Linked DNA regions of Arabidopsis thaliana. The protein of the gene in region 3 interacts with the protein of the main gene of each other region in a pairwise test. Each region holds a gene or a part of one and is shown on either strand. Other genes may lie near its edges.

What was found. The genes of interacting proteins can lie anywhere in the genome.
Region 1: the proteins of PYL6 (region 3) and AT5G51910 interact in binary tests that used the Arabidopsis thaliana proteins (3 or more experiments, as listed by UniProt).
Region 2: the proteins of PYL6 (region 3) and AT4G29120 interact in binary tests that used the Arabidopsis thaliana proteins (3 or more experiments, as listed by UniProt).

The regions. Positions count from the first base shown.
Region 1 is NC_003076.8:21,092,987-21,097,852, reverse strand, and holds AT5G51910 (TCP family transcription factor), read left to right. Parts: upstream 1-1,961; 5' UTR 1,962-2,044; intron 2,045-2,150; exon of another isoform or gene 2,151-2,245; 5' UTR 2,246-2,267; coding exon 2,268-3,149; 3' UTR 3,150-3,287; downstream 3,288-4,866. Other genes in the region: AT5G51920 (Pyridoxal phosphate (PLP)-dependent transferases superfamily protein), read left to right, coding at 1-651; AT5G51900 (Cytochrome P450 family protein), read left to right, coding at 3,399-3,860, 3,906-4,172.
Region 2 is NC_003075.7:14,349,095-14,353,638, reverse strand, and holds AT4G29120 (6-phosphogluconate dehydrogenase family protein), read right to left. Parts: upstream 2,782-4,544; 5' UTR 2,779-2,781; coding exon 1,774-2,778; 3' UTR 1,580-1,773; downstream 1-1,579. Other genes in the region: HXK1 (hexokinase 1), read left to right, coding at 1-92, 178-252, 332-586, 681-811, 878-1,301; AT4G29110 (cotton fiber protein), read right to left, coding at 4,171-4,544.
Region 3 is NC_003071.7:16,843,096-16,849,239, forward strand, and holds PYL6 (PYR1-like 6), read right to left. Parts: upstream 3,100-6,144; 5' UTR 2,730-3,099; coding exon 2,082-2,729; 3' UTR 1,493-2,081; downstream 1-1,492. Other genes in the region: DREB2C (Integrase-type DNA-binding superfamily protein), read right to left, coding at 5,570-6,144. UniProt on the Arabidopsis thaliana protein: Receptor for abscisic acid (ABA) required for ABA-mediated responses such as stomatal closure and germination inhibition.

The sequences.
Region 1 (4,866 bases), on a different chromosome or scaffold from region 3:
CTTGAATCTTCCACTGGTCCAGGTATGATTAACCTCGTACCTACCGACAATCCGATTTCATTACACGCGTTGGAAATCAACCGAACACAAACAGATTCGGAAGAAACATATAGCTTTAGCTCTAGTGTCGAATACAAAGGCCTAGATCATGTAGATTCACTAGGGTTGGTAGCAACAGGGAACAGATCAAGATGCTTGATAAATTGGTTGGTAAGTGCTCTCTACAAACTCAAACATTCAACAACTAGTCGTCTAGTTAAAATCTACGGTCCGAAAGTTAATTTCAATCGAGGACCAGCGGTTGCGTTCAATCTATTCAACCATAAAGGCGAAAAAATCGAACCTTTTATCGTGCAGAAGTTAGCCGAATGCAGCAACATCTCACTCGGTAAAAGTTTCTTGAAGAACATCTTGTTCCAAGAAGACTACGAAGGCGTGAAAGATAGAGTTTTTGAGAAGAAAAGAAACAGAGACGTCGACGAACCAAGGATCTCTGTTCTCACTGCTGCGTTAGGGTTTCTTGCTAATTTCGAAGATGTTTATAAACTTTGGATATTCGTTGCTCGGTTTTTGGATTCAGAGTTTGTTGATAAAGAGAGTGTGAGATGTGGAGTTCATGTTTTTGAACATAAGAACCGTGAAGTAGTCTAGTTAACATATAGCCTAGTTTTGGCTCGGTTTGCTTTGGTTCACTTCTTACATCAGAACCGGTTCAAGTATCAATGAAAATTTTGATTTTTGTTCAGTACAAAGTCAGCGTCAACATTAGCGTCCAAGTAGCACCTCTATCTCCCACTAATTTTGATTTTGCTACTGATTCAAAAAAAAATAATTAACTTTCGAAAAAAGGTAGCTCATATATATTTATTTACAATTCGCTCATTCCTAGATGTCAAGTAGATATGAACGGGGCAAATGAATGCCCAATAACTAAAATAAACCCATATCAGCTATATATTTCTTCGGTTGTTAAAAATTTTGATTTTATAAAATTTATTGCACAAATGATTTTCTAGATGTTATTTTTATTTTTATTTTTAGTATGATAAATACTAAATTTCAAAATGCAATGATTGAAAATAATTAAACTTTTAATTTTATTAGCTCATAATTAAACTTAAAAATATTTAATATAAAAAATGTTAATGATTAGATAATGTTTTTTTTTTAATATGTGAAAAAATCCCAAACATCAATCTATTATAAAAATATGGAATAATACTTTTATTTAATCTATTTTTTTAGTAGTCAACATCAAAAGATTATTACAAATGACCAATGTTGATAATTTTAACTTATAAATATAGTATTAAATAATGAATAGTGAATTGTTTTCTTTTTGGCGGGTGAAACCTTATTTCCAAGCTTCATACTCTAGTCTTCGAGAGTCATGCTTAGTAATTGACATTTTTTGTTGCCATCATTTCTTATAAAGCTTACCCTAAGCTTGCAAGAATATTTACCGAGTAGTTTGGAATCTTGGTGTTGTAAATCATGCACTATTTGTTTTACTACGCAGTTCCAATCTTCTCGTGGGGACCAAAGTTTTTCAACCTTGTATACAACAAAATCAACAAGGGATTAGGTACACCAAATTGGTTTTTACGAAAACAGTAACATGCTATCAAAATAGAGACTAGTCGTTTTGGTGATAGAATTCAGACCAAGACAATAATGGTTTTACTTGTCAATAATACTCAGAAATGAACATAAGCTGCACTTGTCAATAGTACTCAGTTTTGAGATAGCTAAGTTTTGTATTGCCCTAGTTATGGCTCGGTTTTGTCCAATTCGGTTGGTTTGGTTCACTTCTTAAATGGAAACCGGTTCAACTGTACAACTATCAATAAAAAAAAAAAAATTAGCTCCACAACATGACTCTTGTGATGTGGTCGAGGCCAAGGCCCATTAGTTAGCTAAAACAGGCCCATATGAAGTATGTGATCTAGACCGTTGATTTGTAATGGGACTATATAAAAATAAAAACGATGATCTTGAGGGCCCCTTCTTCCATCTTTGTAGGGTTCTTCGTGCAGAGGATAAGGTTAGCTGTGGTTTTTTAATTTTATTTTTCTACCTTTGTAGGGTTTCCTCACTTTTTTTTATCCACTGTTCTTTAGTTTTCAATCTGTCAAATTCAAACAGATAACATTTTTCGTCAAAAGAATCAGTAAAAACTAAACATTTTGACTATATCCTACTTGAATCAATTCTTCGGCTGATTTTGAAGTTTTGTGACATTCAGATATTCTAGGGTTTTGTGGTAAATGGAATCGAATCACGAAGGCAACGCGATACAAGTGATTGACCAAGTAACAACCATGACCCATCTGTCTGACCCGAATCCGAAAACCAAACCGGGTATGATGCTCATGAAACAAGAAGACGGGTATTTGCAGCCGGTGAAGACTAAACCGGCTCCGAAGAGACCGACTTCTAAAGACCGTCACACGAAAGTAGAAGGACGAGGTCGGAGGATCCGAATGCCGGCGGGTTGCGCTGCTCGGGTCTTTCAATTGACCCGTGAACTTGGTCACAAATCCGACGGAGAAACGATACGGTGGTTATTGGAACGAGCTGAACCGGCGATAATTGAAGCAACCGGAACCGGAACTGTACCGGCTATTGCTGTATCGGTTAACGGAACTTTAAAAATCCCGACGAGCTCTCCAGTGTTGAATGACGGCGGCCGTGACGGTGACGGTGACCTAATAAAGAAACGGAGGAAGAGAAACTGTACGAGCGATTTCGTAGACGTTAATGACAGCTGTCATAGCTCCGTTACTTCTGGGTTAGCTCCGATAACGGCGTCAAACTACGGCGTTAATATCCTGAACGTTAATACACAGGGGTTTGTGCCGTTTTGGCCTATGGGTATGGGTACTGCGTTTGTTACTGGTGGGCCGGATCAAATGGGCCAAATGTGGGCTATTCCTACCGTTGCTACAGCTCCGTTTCTGAATGTTGGTGCTAGACCGGTGTCTAGTTATGTCTCAAACGCTTCAGACGCTGAGGCGGAGATGGAAACGAGCGGTGGCGGAACGACGCAACCGCTGAGGGATTTTTCGTTGGAGATTTATGATAAGAGAGAGCTTCAGTTTTTGGGTGGCTCAGGGAACTCATCTCCGTCTTCATGTCATGAGACTTAAGGAATTTTAACTCTTAGTTCTAGTTTCTTTTTAGTTTTTAGTAAGTTTGATTCCTGATTTAGGTTAAGTAAGATTTGTAAAAGAATTGGGAGCACAATTTCAATTTTATGTTTCTGTCAAACATTTTGGTAATTAATGGAACTATCCTATCATTTTTAAAAAATAAATCAAAATGAGATTAAAAATGAGTCTGCTAAAACGCCAGAGGTTGAGTCTGCTAAAGCTCTCGACACAATAGTAGAAGGAATAATGTATAGGCACGTTAAACCTAGATTCTCGTGGAAGCTACAAAGCTGGATCGGAGTTGGGATGGAGAAGAAGATGATAGAAGCTGGTGCCATTTTTGATCGAGTGTGTGGGAAATACATATCAGCCAGGAGAGAAGAGGTAAAAAGATCACAAGTGAATAATAATGATCATTTCATTAGAGATAGTCATGCAAATCTTTTGACATCTCACATAAAGCTTGATACAACCCAGTACCAGCTCTTGGATCCTATCAATGATAAATTCTTAAGAGACAATGTCTTTGCTTTACTTCTAGCTGGGAGAGATACCACTGCCTCTGCTCTCACTTGGTTCTTTTGGTTTTTGTCCGAAAACCCTCTAGTGGTGACCAAGATTCGCCAAGAGATTGACATGAATCTACCAAGAAGTTGTAGTGGCCAAGAGAGACCATCTTGTGATCCAATGGAGTACTTAAACAAAGATGTACTTAAACAAGATTTTGGTCTTTATTTATGGGGTGGTGGGTAGGATGAGAGCTGTATGGGGAGAAGATGCATTAGAATTCAAGCCAGAGAGATGGATTTCCGAGACCGGAGAGTTAGCATTCAATGCCGGTCGAGAATATGCCATGGTAAACAAAGAGCTATGGTTCAAATGAAGATTGTGGCGGTGGAGATATTACAAAACTATGACATCAAGGTTGCCAACGGGCAGAAGTTTGAGCCAGATACTAGTTTAATTCTTAAAATGAAGCATGGCTTTAAGGTTAAGATTAACAAGAGATGTTCATCTTGATATTAGTGAAATAATCAAGTTCTTTTTTAAGTTCTATTTCGAAACCATAGCCTAATTAAGAGTATTAATAAGGAGACAAGTTTAAGTGTGATCTACCTTGAGGTTTAGTTTTTATTGTAGACAAATTATAGTAATGGTTTTTTAATGATTTCAATGACAGTTTAGAAGAATGTAACTCTCGATCCAAGAATGATAATTCATGAGTTAGTAAACTGATGAAATCAAAAAAGAAATGTTGTTTCAATTATTATACTGTACCATTTTTATTTCTACGAATTACGAAACCATTTCTTCTCTACCGAAACTAAAGTAAACTAAACCGTAACAAAAAATTTTGTTTCTTTGTTTTCAACCGTATCCAAATTATGTATCCAGTTTTTTTTGTTTTTTTTTTTTTTTTTTTTCTCATTGTTGACAAAATAAGTAATTTTCTAATTTAAAATTTTCTTCAAAAAAATTTATTATAATATCCGTAACTACAATGCAAATAGTGCCGTACACGTGAGAAGCAAAACAAAAAAGATGCAGAAAAAAAAATAGTACCACAAAATCCTTCACCAACCGTACTGCGAAGCCAAGGCAATTGAAACCAAACACTGATAGGCATAACTCAACAGTAGTTACCCTTTTTTGACCATCTTCTCGTTTAATTCTCTTCTTTATTCATTTTCAATCTTACTCTATCCACACACAC
Region 2 (4,544 bases), on a different chromosome or scaffold from region 3:
TAGGTTTCACTTTCTCGTTTCCTGTTAAGCAGACTTCTCTGTCCTCTGGTAGTCTCATCAAATGGACAAAAGGCTTTTCCATCGAAGAAGCAGTTAAGCTCGATTTTCGTTCAACTATTTCACTTAAAATGTTTAGTTTTCGCCTTTGCCTTAATCTTTGTTTAACCTGTTGCATAGGTTGGACAAGATGTTGTTGGAGCACTTAATAAGGCTCTGGAAAGAGTTGGTCTTGACATGCGAATCGCAGCACTTGTGAGTTCTCTTTCGCCTTATGCTCTCTAGTGAATCCCTTTTGTCATGTGTTTGTTGATTTGTTTTTGACGTTTTACAGGTTAATGATACCGTTGGAACACTAGCCGGTGGTAGATACTATAACCCGGATGTTGTTGCTGCTGTTATTTTAGGCACTGGGACAAACGCAGCCTATGTTGAGCGTGCAACCGCGATCCCTAAATGGCATGGTCTGCTTCCAAAATCAGGAGAAATGGTTATAAACATGGAATGGGGAAACTTCAGGTCATCACATCTTCCATTAACCGAGTTTGATCACACGCTGGATTTCGAGAGTCTGAATCCAGGCGAACAGGTACGAGTTTTTAAACCCCGGTTTGTTGTTACAAAATGCCAATACCTACGAGGTGTCTCGAGAATGAGTTTCTATGTGGAATTTCATTTTGCAGATTCTTGAGAAAATCATTTCCGGTATGTACTTGGGAGAGATTTTGCGAAGAGTTCTTCTAAAGATGGCTGAAGATGCTGCTTTCTTTGGCGATACAGTCCCATCTAAGCTGAGAATACCATTCATCATTAGGTACTCTTTACTAAGTTTCATCCTTTGAGGAAGGGCTTTAGTCTAAAGTTCAACAATCATTTGCAGGACTCCTCACATGTCGGCTATGCACAACGACACTTCTCCAGACTTGAAGATTGTTGGGAGCAAGATTAAGGATATATTGGAGGTCCCTACAACTTCTCTGAAAATGAGAAAAGTTGTGATCAGTCTCTGCAACATCATAGCAACCCGAGGAGCTCGTCTCTCTGCTGCTGGAATCTATGGTATTCTGAAGAAACTGGGAAGAGATACTACTAAAGACGAGGAGGTGCAGAAATCGGTTATAGCCATGGATGGTGGATTGTTTGAGCATTACACTCAGTTTAGTGAGTGTATGGAGAGCTCACTAAAAGAGTTGCTTGGAGATGAAGCTTCAGGAAGCGTTGAAGTCACTCACTCCAATGATGGATCAGGCATTGGAGCTGCGCTTCTTGCTGCTTCTCACTCTCTCTACCTTGAAGACTCTTAAAACCTACCCAAAGAGCGCCATTTTTCGGTAATTTACTGAAAGCTTTTCGCTATCAGAAAACGCCTAAGCCAAGTTCTAAGGCGTCATAAAAGAAAGCATTCCATGTTTTTACTCTTCCCCAAGACTTTCTTTGTAGCAAATAAGTTTCCTTGGGAGAAATATTTGTTTTCATGTTCTTCAAAAATAAAAGACTCAGTTCTTCAGATTCTGGGATTTTATTATAACCAGATATGTTGTAAAAACTACAAATTCAAAGCTCACTTCACTGGAGTTCTGAGTATATAAAGATTTCATTTTTCCTCATCATTGAGTACACATAAAACTACTGTGTATGAATCTCATATGCGTACACAAAAGTTTACTTCAAATCATGTTTTACCAACAAATGGGTACACAAAAGATCAAATCTTTACTTCATAACAACATAAAATCTCCAACAGATGCATTATCAGAAAGTGGAACAGAACCTAAATCAAGAGTCAGATGATTGAACAGAGACATTGTTGAGACGTTCAAGAGCCAAGAGAAGAGCTTGAGTACCAAGATCACCTTCACCATGAGCCTTAAGAGACAAGTAAAGCTGTTGAGCAAGAGCTAAACCAGGCAAAGCCAAACCCATCCTCTGACATTCATTCAAACAAATCCCTAAATCTTTCACAAAATGATTCACATAAAAACCAGGATCAAAATCCCTCTTCAGAATCCTATCTCCATACAAATCTATAGACTTAGAACCAGCAGCACCAGTAGAAATCGCTTCAAGAAACTTCTTAACATCAAGTCCAGCTTTATGAGCATAAATCAAACCTTCCACAAGTCCTAACATAGTCGAAGCAATAGTTATCTGATTAGCCAATTTCGCAAATTGACCTTTCCCACTTGTTCCCATGAAGTTGACTTTACCCATTAACGAAAACAACGGATCTAAACGTTTCACGGTGGTTTCATCACCTCCGGCGAATATAGATAGCTTCCCATTCTTAGCTCCTAAATCTCCACCTGAGACAGGAGCGTCTATTGAGAAACAATTCTTAAAGGAAGCAGCTTTAGCTATCTCCTCTGCTAAAGAAGGCTCAGAAGTAGTCATATCAACGAGAACACCTCCTTGACGGAGACCAGATAAAGCTCCGGACTTTGGATCGAGAAGGACGTGACGGACATCGGAAGGATAACCAACGATGGTGAAAACGACGTCGGATTGTTCAGCGACTGAGTTTGGTGAGTCGGCGACGTTAGCACCCATGTCGATGAGAGTTTGAGCTTTGGAGATGGTTCGATTGAAGACGGTGACTGTGTAACCGGCTTTGATTAAGTGTCCACACATTGATCGGCCCATGACTCCGGTTCCGATCCATCCGATTTTGGTGTTTGATGGAGTGATTATATCCGAGGAGATTGTTGAGGAAGCCATTGAGCGACGGAGGAAGAAGGAGGAGACGACGGAGGGAGAGGGAAATCGACGGAGGAGAAGTGGCATTGTTTCCTGTGGTGATTGATGGATTCTAGTAGTTATCGAAAGTTGAGTGGTATACCATCGTAATTTTGAGTTTCTTCGGAGGTGTTTTTCGTCAAAGTACTTTAACGACGTCGGGTTTGTAATCCTGGTTTAGAAAATTGATTTGGTTCGGTTAAACTTGGTTTATTAGGCTCAAGCGTGCTAGTGGTGAAGAAGATAGATAATCAATGGGCATTTAACAAGGCAAGCATGAGAAAATAAATGATAGATGTTTTATAACCTTTCATGTTTTGAGAAAATTTAGAAGAAAAAGAAAGACATGGTTTGGGTTTGGGATTTGATCCAGAATTTGGTTTGGGATTTGATCCAGTATTTGGTTTGGGTTTGGGATTTGATCCAGTATTTGGTTTGGGAATGGATTATATCACGTATATGGATCATCGTAGTTGTTCTCTCTGTCTCCATTGTCTTGAGATATTTGTGGGTTCTCGAGAATTGTCCTAAAACACAACCTCAACATTGTAAGAATATTTCTCTATCATCTTTTTCATGATCTATGCTTTAAGATACTTTTCTCTATTTTATAATGCTTGTTGTTGTTGTTGCATGTTGTATACTTATATGTATACCATCCAAAGCAGTGGAACAACCCCAAGAATCAACTTGCACTGAAGTGGTCGTTGGTGATTCAGTGGAGAAGCTCACACGAAGAATTATAGAAATAGAAGAGCAGCCTGGAAATGAGCGATTGGCGGTAAAGACTGTGGTTGAGAAGGTAAAGCCGAGTGTTGTGAAGGTGAAGCCCAGAAACTTTTGGTGTTTGTGTTAACTACGAGAGCATGACTTGACTAGTATGTCAAATAAACATTGGACTAACAAAATACTCGAATGATCACCAAAATAATTTTAGACTACTACAGTATATATAAAAAATGACTACGTCTTTGGATGTACGAGTAAAGACGTTGTGCGTGTTTAAATACTTGAGGAAGACGTATTGTTGAATAATGTCGTAATAATTATCTGTGCCTGCAATTCTCCATATATATGATCGGAATTAAATTGCACGAAACGTTATGGTTGGTCGATGAACAACTTGAGAGAATGAGAGCGATATTTTATCTTATTCATTTCTCTACTTTTTGATTTGATAAATTCATCATCAATAAATTCACCTAGTGTATATAGTATTCTTCTCATTAAGATAGGAAAATATATACATAGCCATGTTTACATCAAAACTACCGACGAAATAAACACAAGCCAAATTTAAGTATTCAACACTCAAATGGAACATATATCTAAGAAAAGTTGTAACCCCATTATTTATACATGTATTCTCAATTGTCCCCTTATTTGTTCTGTTGATCCAACGCTAGTGATTAAATTTGCGATGGTCTCTAAACGCTTGGATCATCTAACCCATCCATCGTGGTACGGCGACTCTAATGCGTTAGTCATCTTCTTTTGCAGCTTAAGGTTCTTATAAAACTTCTTTATAAACTCCTCTGCGGCTTTGTCCACCACATGATCGTGATCTCCACCGTCGTCTAACGGGAACGGCGAATCCGTCACCCTGAGCTGTCTCACTGCCGGGGACATTATCAGCGGCGACTCTCTGGCCGATTCTGTCGCCACCGTCTTCTTATCATTCTCTCCTAACAACTCAAAAACTTTCTTGACCGCTGCCTCCACCGCATCTTCTTCGTTGTCATAACCGCCGTGGACGCGGCGTTTGCGTTTGGAGATAAAGGCAAAAGGGTCGTAGTCACGGACGCGTGAGGAGG
Region 3 (6,144 bases):
ATATCTTATTCTAATTAGTTAAAGTGTTAGATAGCCCAGCTAAAGACTATATGAAAATACGAACTATCTCCGTTGCTTTTTAAAAGTAATGCATATTATATCACAGCTATGTACGTTATCACAATCTTTTATGCATGTTTATTTGGATTTGAATTATTAAGAAACTAGTTAAATAGTAGTAGTTTATATGCAACATGCCACATTGGAATATACAAACCCCATAAATCGTATCTCTCTGGATTGGTCAGAATTTTCATTTTTTTGACACGGGAATACATATGTTTTCATATGTAAATAAAAGGGAAAAAAATTTCTTATGGGTTTATAAAATTAAAAAAAATGTGAAATAAAATATAAGTAATATAATAATAGTGATCAGAAATAGGAAGACAGAAAAGAAAATAAGAAAGGTGGGTGGGTTTAAATGTCATTATACAAACGACCAAAAGAGGGAAAACATTAATAGCCTCCTTGCCAACTTGCATATCAACTTGCAATTCCTTCCTTCCACGACAATGTTTACATATATATTTCGTACTCATTATGATAATAAATTAATAATCATTTATGTAATCAATTTGATTTTTCTTTAACCTTTTTTTTATTTATGGAATATTTTTTAAAGGTGTCAAAGAATAGTAGCGACTTTTTTTTTTTTCCTTTGCAACTTGCATGCTTTGTTTTTTTTCTATAACAAGTTGGATTTTATTACACCCCAACTTGCATTTTACGTACGATCATATACATGAATGTCTATATATGTATTCAATTTTGAATTTGGTTCACAAGTCTCGAAATCTTACTACTTAATTATAAAGTAACTAAACACATTTTGCTTTTGCAAACTTTGAATGTCTTTTCATCTTGTTCATTGGATTCTTTATATTTATATAACTAGATAAAGTTATTTGATTTTTCAAATGTACATTTTTATTCATGAACTAATATATAGGACAAGGAAATCCGAAAAAGTAATAATTTTGACATTTGAATTATTGAAACGGTTCACGCATCCCAAAACTATAAAAGGAACTAAGAAATTTTATCATTTTGGTATGTAAATAATTTTGATTTATTTTTTTGGTGAGTAAAAACAAAACATTTACGTATTTATGTAAAGTTTGTTGATGAAATGACAAATAATTTGAAAATTTTACGTTTCCAAATTAGGGAATTAAAGATATAATGCTGTATTACCTGACACCATTTATTTTGGCCTAGCATTATATATGCCATAAAGAAAATTCTTAAGATTATATCACATAACTCAATACATGCATTACGCCTTGGTTCAAGTTTAATTATCACTAATTGATATTATTCCATCTTTGCTTTTAGGATTGAACGCTTTGATTATATAGCTGGTGAGCAAATTCATTTAAAACACCAAGTAGTATTCTACTGTTTATACATTTCAATAAAATTCAAATGATGTATAGTTTTACTTTGTTCTTCTCTTAACATAAAGGAAAACGAATCATCTCAATCAGCACATGTATGGGTTTTCTGATTGCCCACAATTGTTCAGATCTCTTCATATATAGTAGATATGCCAATGATTATATTAATCAAATTGTTTGTGTAATACATTATTATGTAGGTTATCAAAATTAATGAAATTAGACATAATAATATCGGAAATATCGTAACAATATACCCCATGCATTATAGCTGAATCACTATATAGTCTATATTGTTTCATGATTAACTAAATTAAAAGACAAATAATAAATATGTAAAATACGGCGCAAGAAGAAGATTATGAAAATAACTAAACAATCAATGTTTATATAATAAAGCTACGAGAGCTGTACAAGAAGAAATGGTTTTAAGGGTAAAACCAAAGTATCGTTGAGACATACATTTAACAGACCCTAAAAACCCTAACTTCGAAAAACCAAAACCATCTTGTTTGATATAATTCTTGTTTTTTGTTTTAGTTTCGAAAAATCCCCGACGATAGTTAAATACTTAAATCTTAAAATCCAAAACCACCTCGAGAATCCCAAAAATAAAAGATAAATTTTGAAAGAGAGAAATATAGAAAATAAAATAAAAATAAAAAGATTGAAAAAATGTAATTACGAGAATTTAGAAGTGTTCTCGGCGAGTTTAGCCAGCGATTGCAAGTTGCACCGTACTATAGTATCAGCAAAGCTACAAGTCTCTTCCTTATCGTTACCCGCCGGTACGTCAACGACGTATGACTCAACGACACGTGTCCTCTTCTTGCCGTCGGAGTCCTCCTCCGACTCATGCACCGTCGTCACCGACTTGTAGTTCATGAGTCTGTGGTCCCCACCAACGACGCTGAAACTGATGACGTGGCGATCATCGTCCATGATCTCAAGCCGCTCTAAGCTAAACGCCGCGGGGAGACCAGAGACGACTCTGACCTCTCTCACCGACCCAACCTCTCGACCGTCTCCGATAACCACGTGGCAGCTTTTCACGAAGTGTTTGTACGCTTGAGGGTGTTCGAAGCGGCTTAGGATCGACCAGACTGTGGAAACCGGAGCCTCCACGTCTTGTACCACGACGGAGAAGCACTGAGAAGGACCAACCACGTGCGTGTGGGAAAGCTCCACGTGCTCCGGCACATCAGCCATCCCGCGCGTGAGGCTCACTTTTTGAACCTGTTTCTGATGGTGGTGGGGATAGTTTCTTACGGTGGCGTTGGCTGCTTCTGCGGCGGTGGAGGATCTCTGAAACTGTATCGACGTTGGCATTATTAAAGCAAATCTTTTCTCTATATCTCTTTTAATATTCTTGGCTCTCTCTAAGAAAACAAATGGTTTTCTTCGTGAGGTTGTATTAATGAGAGATATTTACATGTAATATACAGAACTATATAAGGACAGAGTGTTTATATATAAAAATGCAAGTATGTGGATTAGGAAAGAGAGTTAGTTTGTGTGGGTTCTTCGGTTGTCCACTTGGGATTTGTTTGGAGTTTGTGTACTGCTTCAGTTAAGAAACGTCTCTCTCTTTCTTTATATCAAGGACCGGCCCGGTTTCCCATGAAATTCTACGGACTGGTTCTCGATATTTAATATAACCGGTTATTAAATTTTAATTTTGTTTTTCCTTGCTTTGTTACTGAGGCTGTCTATTTGTCAATGGTGCTATATATTTCACCAGTTTATTACAATGAATGAGCATGTTGTCGTAACCACACAAGCATTACTATAATTAGAATGGACGTTTTTATGTTTTAACCAAAAACACTCTTGAATGAAAGTTGAGAAAATGAAATCAATATCATTTAAGATACCGAGAAAAAAATTCTGAACTCATCTCTATCTCACCGATTATATCAATATTCAGAATATAAAAACATTGAACATTATCTTTGAGGTTTTGCATAGATATTTCAATCTTCTACTGTCTCGAGGCTATATATATAGCTAACTCTAAAACGTTATTAAAGATTATAAGAACATGATCACTATGTGTCGAGTTGGTTAAGCTATATATATTGGTTAAGAGCTATACTTAATTTATGCATAGGTTTGAAAAAATTCTTGAAACAAATTGGTTGGGAGGACCGACCTTTGTCTTTGTGATTGCCGATCTATTTTCAGTTGGTACTATTCTTGGATGCGTTTTTGGTGGATTTTTAATTTTGTTGGAACCTTCTGACTAAGGTAAAAATTTCAAAAATAACTCCATAGGACTTTCAATGTTCCAAGTTGGTGAAGATATCATGTCATGGGTCCATCATAATAATCTTTCCTCATCTTGTAATCAACTTGAGCCTTTCGACGATACTAAAAAAAGTATTAATCAAATTCCTTTTCAACAAAGAAAAGAACAGAATATTAATAAGACGAATTAGAAGAAAATCAAACTAAGCAGTTTGCTAAAAGTAACCAACGTAAAGTCAGGGAAATTTACGAATTGGACAATATTTCTTGGGTGTGTTTTCTTCCACAAACGTATATTCAAATCATATGAATATATTGGACTCTTGGATTTGAGTGGTGGGCATAATAACAAAACACAATTGGGAAAAATAATAAAGGGTTATCTAATGCATTAGTTTTTCCAACAACTATACATATTCCCAAGTAGCCCTAGTTGTTAAGATTAATACGAATAAGCGAGCAATTTGCAGTACTAATTATATCTGACATTTTATAGAATAAGAAGGACAAAAAGTTACAATTTGCTATTTTTTGCACCATCCTCGATATAAAGATTGCTCATCTTATAAGCTTTCGGGTTAGGTGACATAATCACTCACCAATATATTACTGAACACAAATAGATTACAAGTTGATGTGGAAAATGTATTAATATTACGGTGATACATTTTTGGGTTCAAAGAGTCAATCTCAAATCAATGCATCAGACGTATTTTGTTACAACAACATAATTTGTGCCAACTTTTTTTTTTGTCAAAACATGTATTATATATCCAAGATTTAAATTCCAATGGTGAGATAGTGACAAACATTAGTATAAACAACTCGACTCCATGTCATTATTATTTTTGTGCAAAAGCCGGTTGTTTGTTTGTTTGTGAATATTTCTCGAGAAATAAATCTCCAATATGCATAAAATATTATTCCACCTAAAATTATTAAATCCCCAACTATGATTATAAACAAAATGCACTTAAAATTTCAAAAATAAGTATCGAAAAAATCAAAGATAAGCTTAAATTTCGATAGATATTTGAATGAATCAGATTACAACGTGATATTAAGAGAAGATTATCGATCAAAAAGTAATTAAAAGGAGAAATTGTCCAAAATAGTTGCATCTCATTCTTGCGGAGAAGAGGACACATTGTCAAAGGGAACTTGTGGAGGTGCAATACCCACCAATTCATTGGATTTAATTAATTAACAGTTTGCCAACTTGATTTCTTCATTTTTCTAAAGGCTTAGAAGATCTTCAAGATTCGAGCAAGAAAAACGATTTTGGAGACCAGAATGGAATAGTTAAAGCCTTTTAAATAATATACAACTATGTCCCATTTGCACTTTCAAATACCCAATTTGCCTTTTGTAGAAAATACAGATAGATAACTCTCTAATGATAACTTTATTATTCATACCTCATTGCTTATGTAATCTCAGACAACCTGAGGAAAGTCTGCAGACCAAAAAACTCCACTACTGGATATTTCCATTAAACTAAGCCAAGTTTCTTGAATAATCAAAACTTGCCAAGTCAATAAAACCACTACGCAACATCGCATTATTCCATCTCCATTCTTAAGGATGAAAATTAGATGTGAGAGTATCCAAAGTTCAAAGATCAAAACTTTATAGCTTATATGCATCCGAAGTTCAAAACTTTGATATGTACCGAATGTTATAAACTTTTTCTAAACCCAACGTTTGAACTTCTTCATATGTCATATGTATTCACAAGAAAAAGAAAGAAGGAATCATATTTGAACTTGTCCTACATTACCTAACTACATGTACTACGTCTCACAACCATTAATATCAGAAAGTATCAGTAGCTTCAAAGAAGGGCAGCTTCTAGCTAGTAACAGCTACACCGTCTCGGAGCAGAATCACAAACTTAGGCCAGTCAAACGAAATTTGAAATCTTATGTAGATCCATGAACATCTTTGTCTCCTCCAAAATCCAAGTCCTGTATGTCAAGATCATTGAACCTGCGATGGTCTAAATCAATACCATAGTTCTCCATATCACTGGGCTGCACATAAGGACATCCATAATCAACTCCTGGTTGAGCAATCTCCATAGGGTTGAGGCTCCCGAGCAAGTTAGAATTTGGAAACTGCGTTTGGTAACTGAAATTTGGGTGTCTATCCACTTGATACTGCATTGTCTCTTGACCAGACACATTGTTGTCGTTTAATATACCCAATAGCTCATTAATATCAAACGTTTCATCCACACCAAACTCCAATGGTTCTTGTTCATTGCCATTTCCCATCAACCAAGCATCCAAAGTCTCCCTTTTCGAGTCCTGTCCAATTCCAAAACCAACAGCCAAGTTATGTTCTTCCCTCACTTCCTCTTTTCCTTTCAGCTCCTCTTTAATACACTGAGAACTATCTAAGAGAACATATTCATCGCTACAATCCTCTAGTTTCACCTGACCAAAACCTGAACTTGCATTTGTATCCTCACGTGCACAAACTTCAGATTCATCAG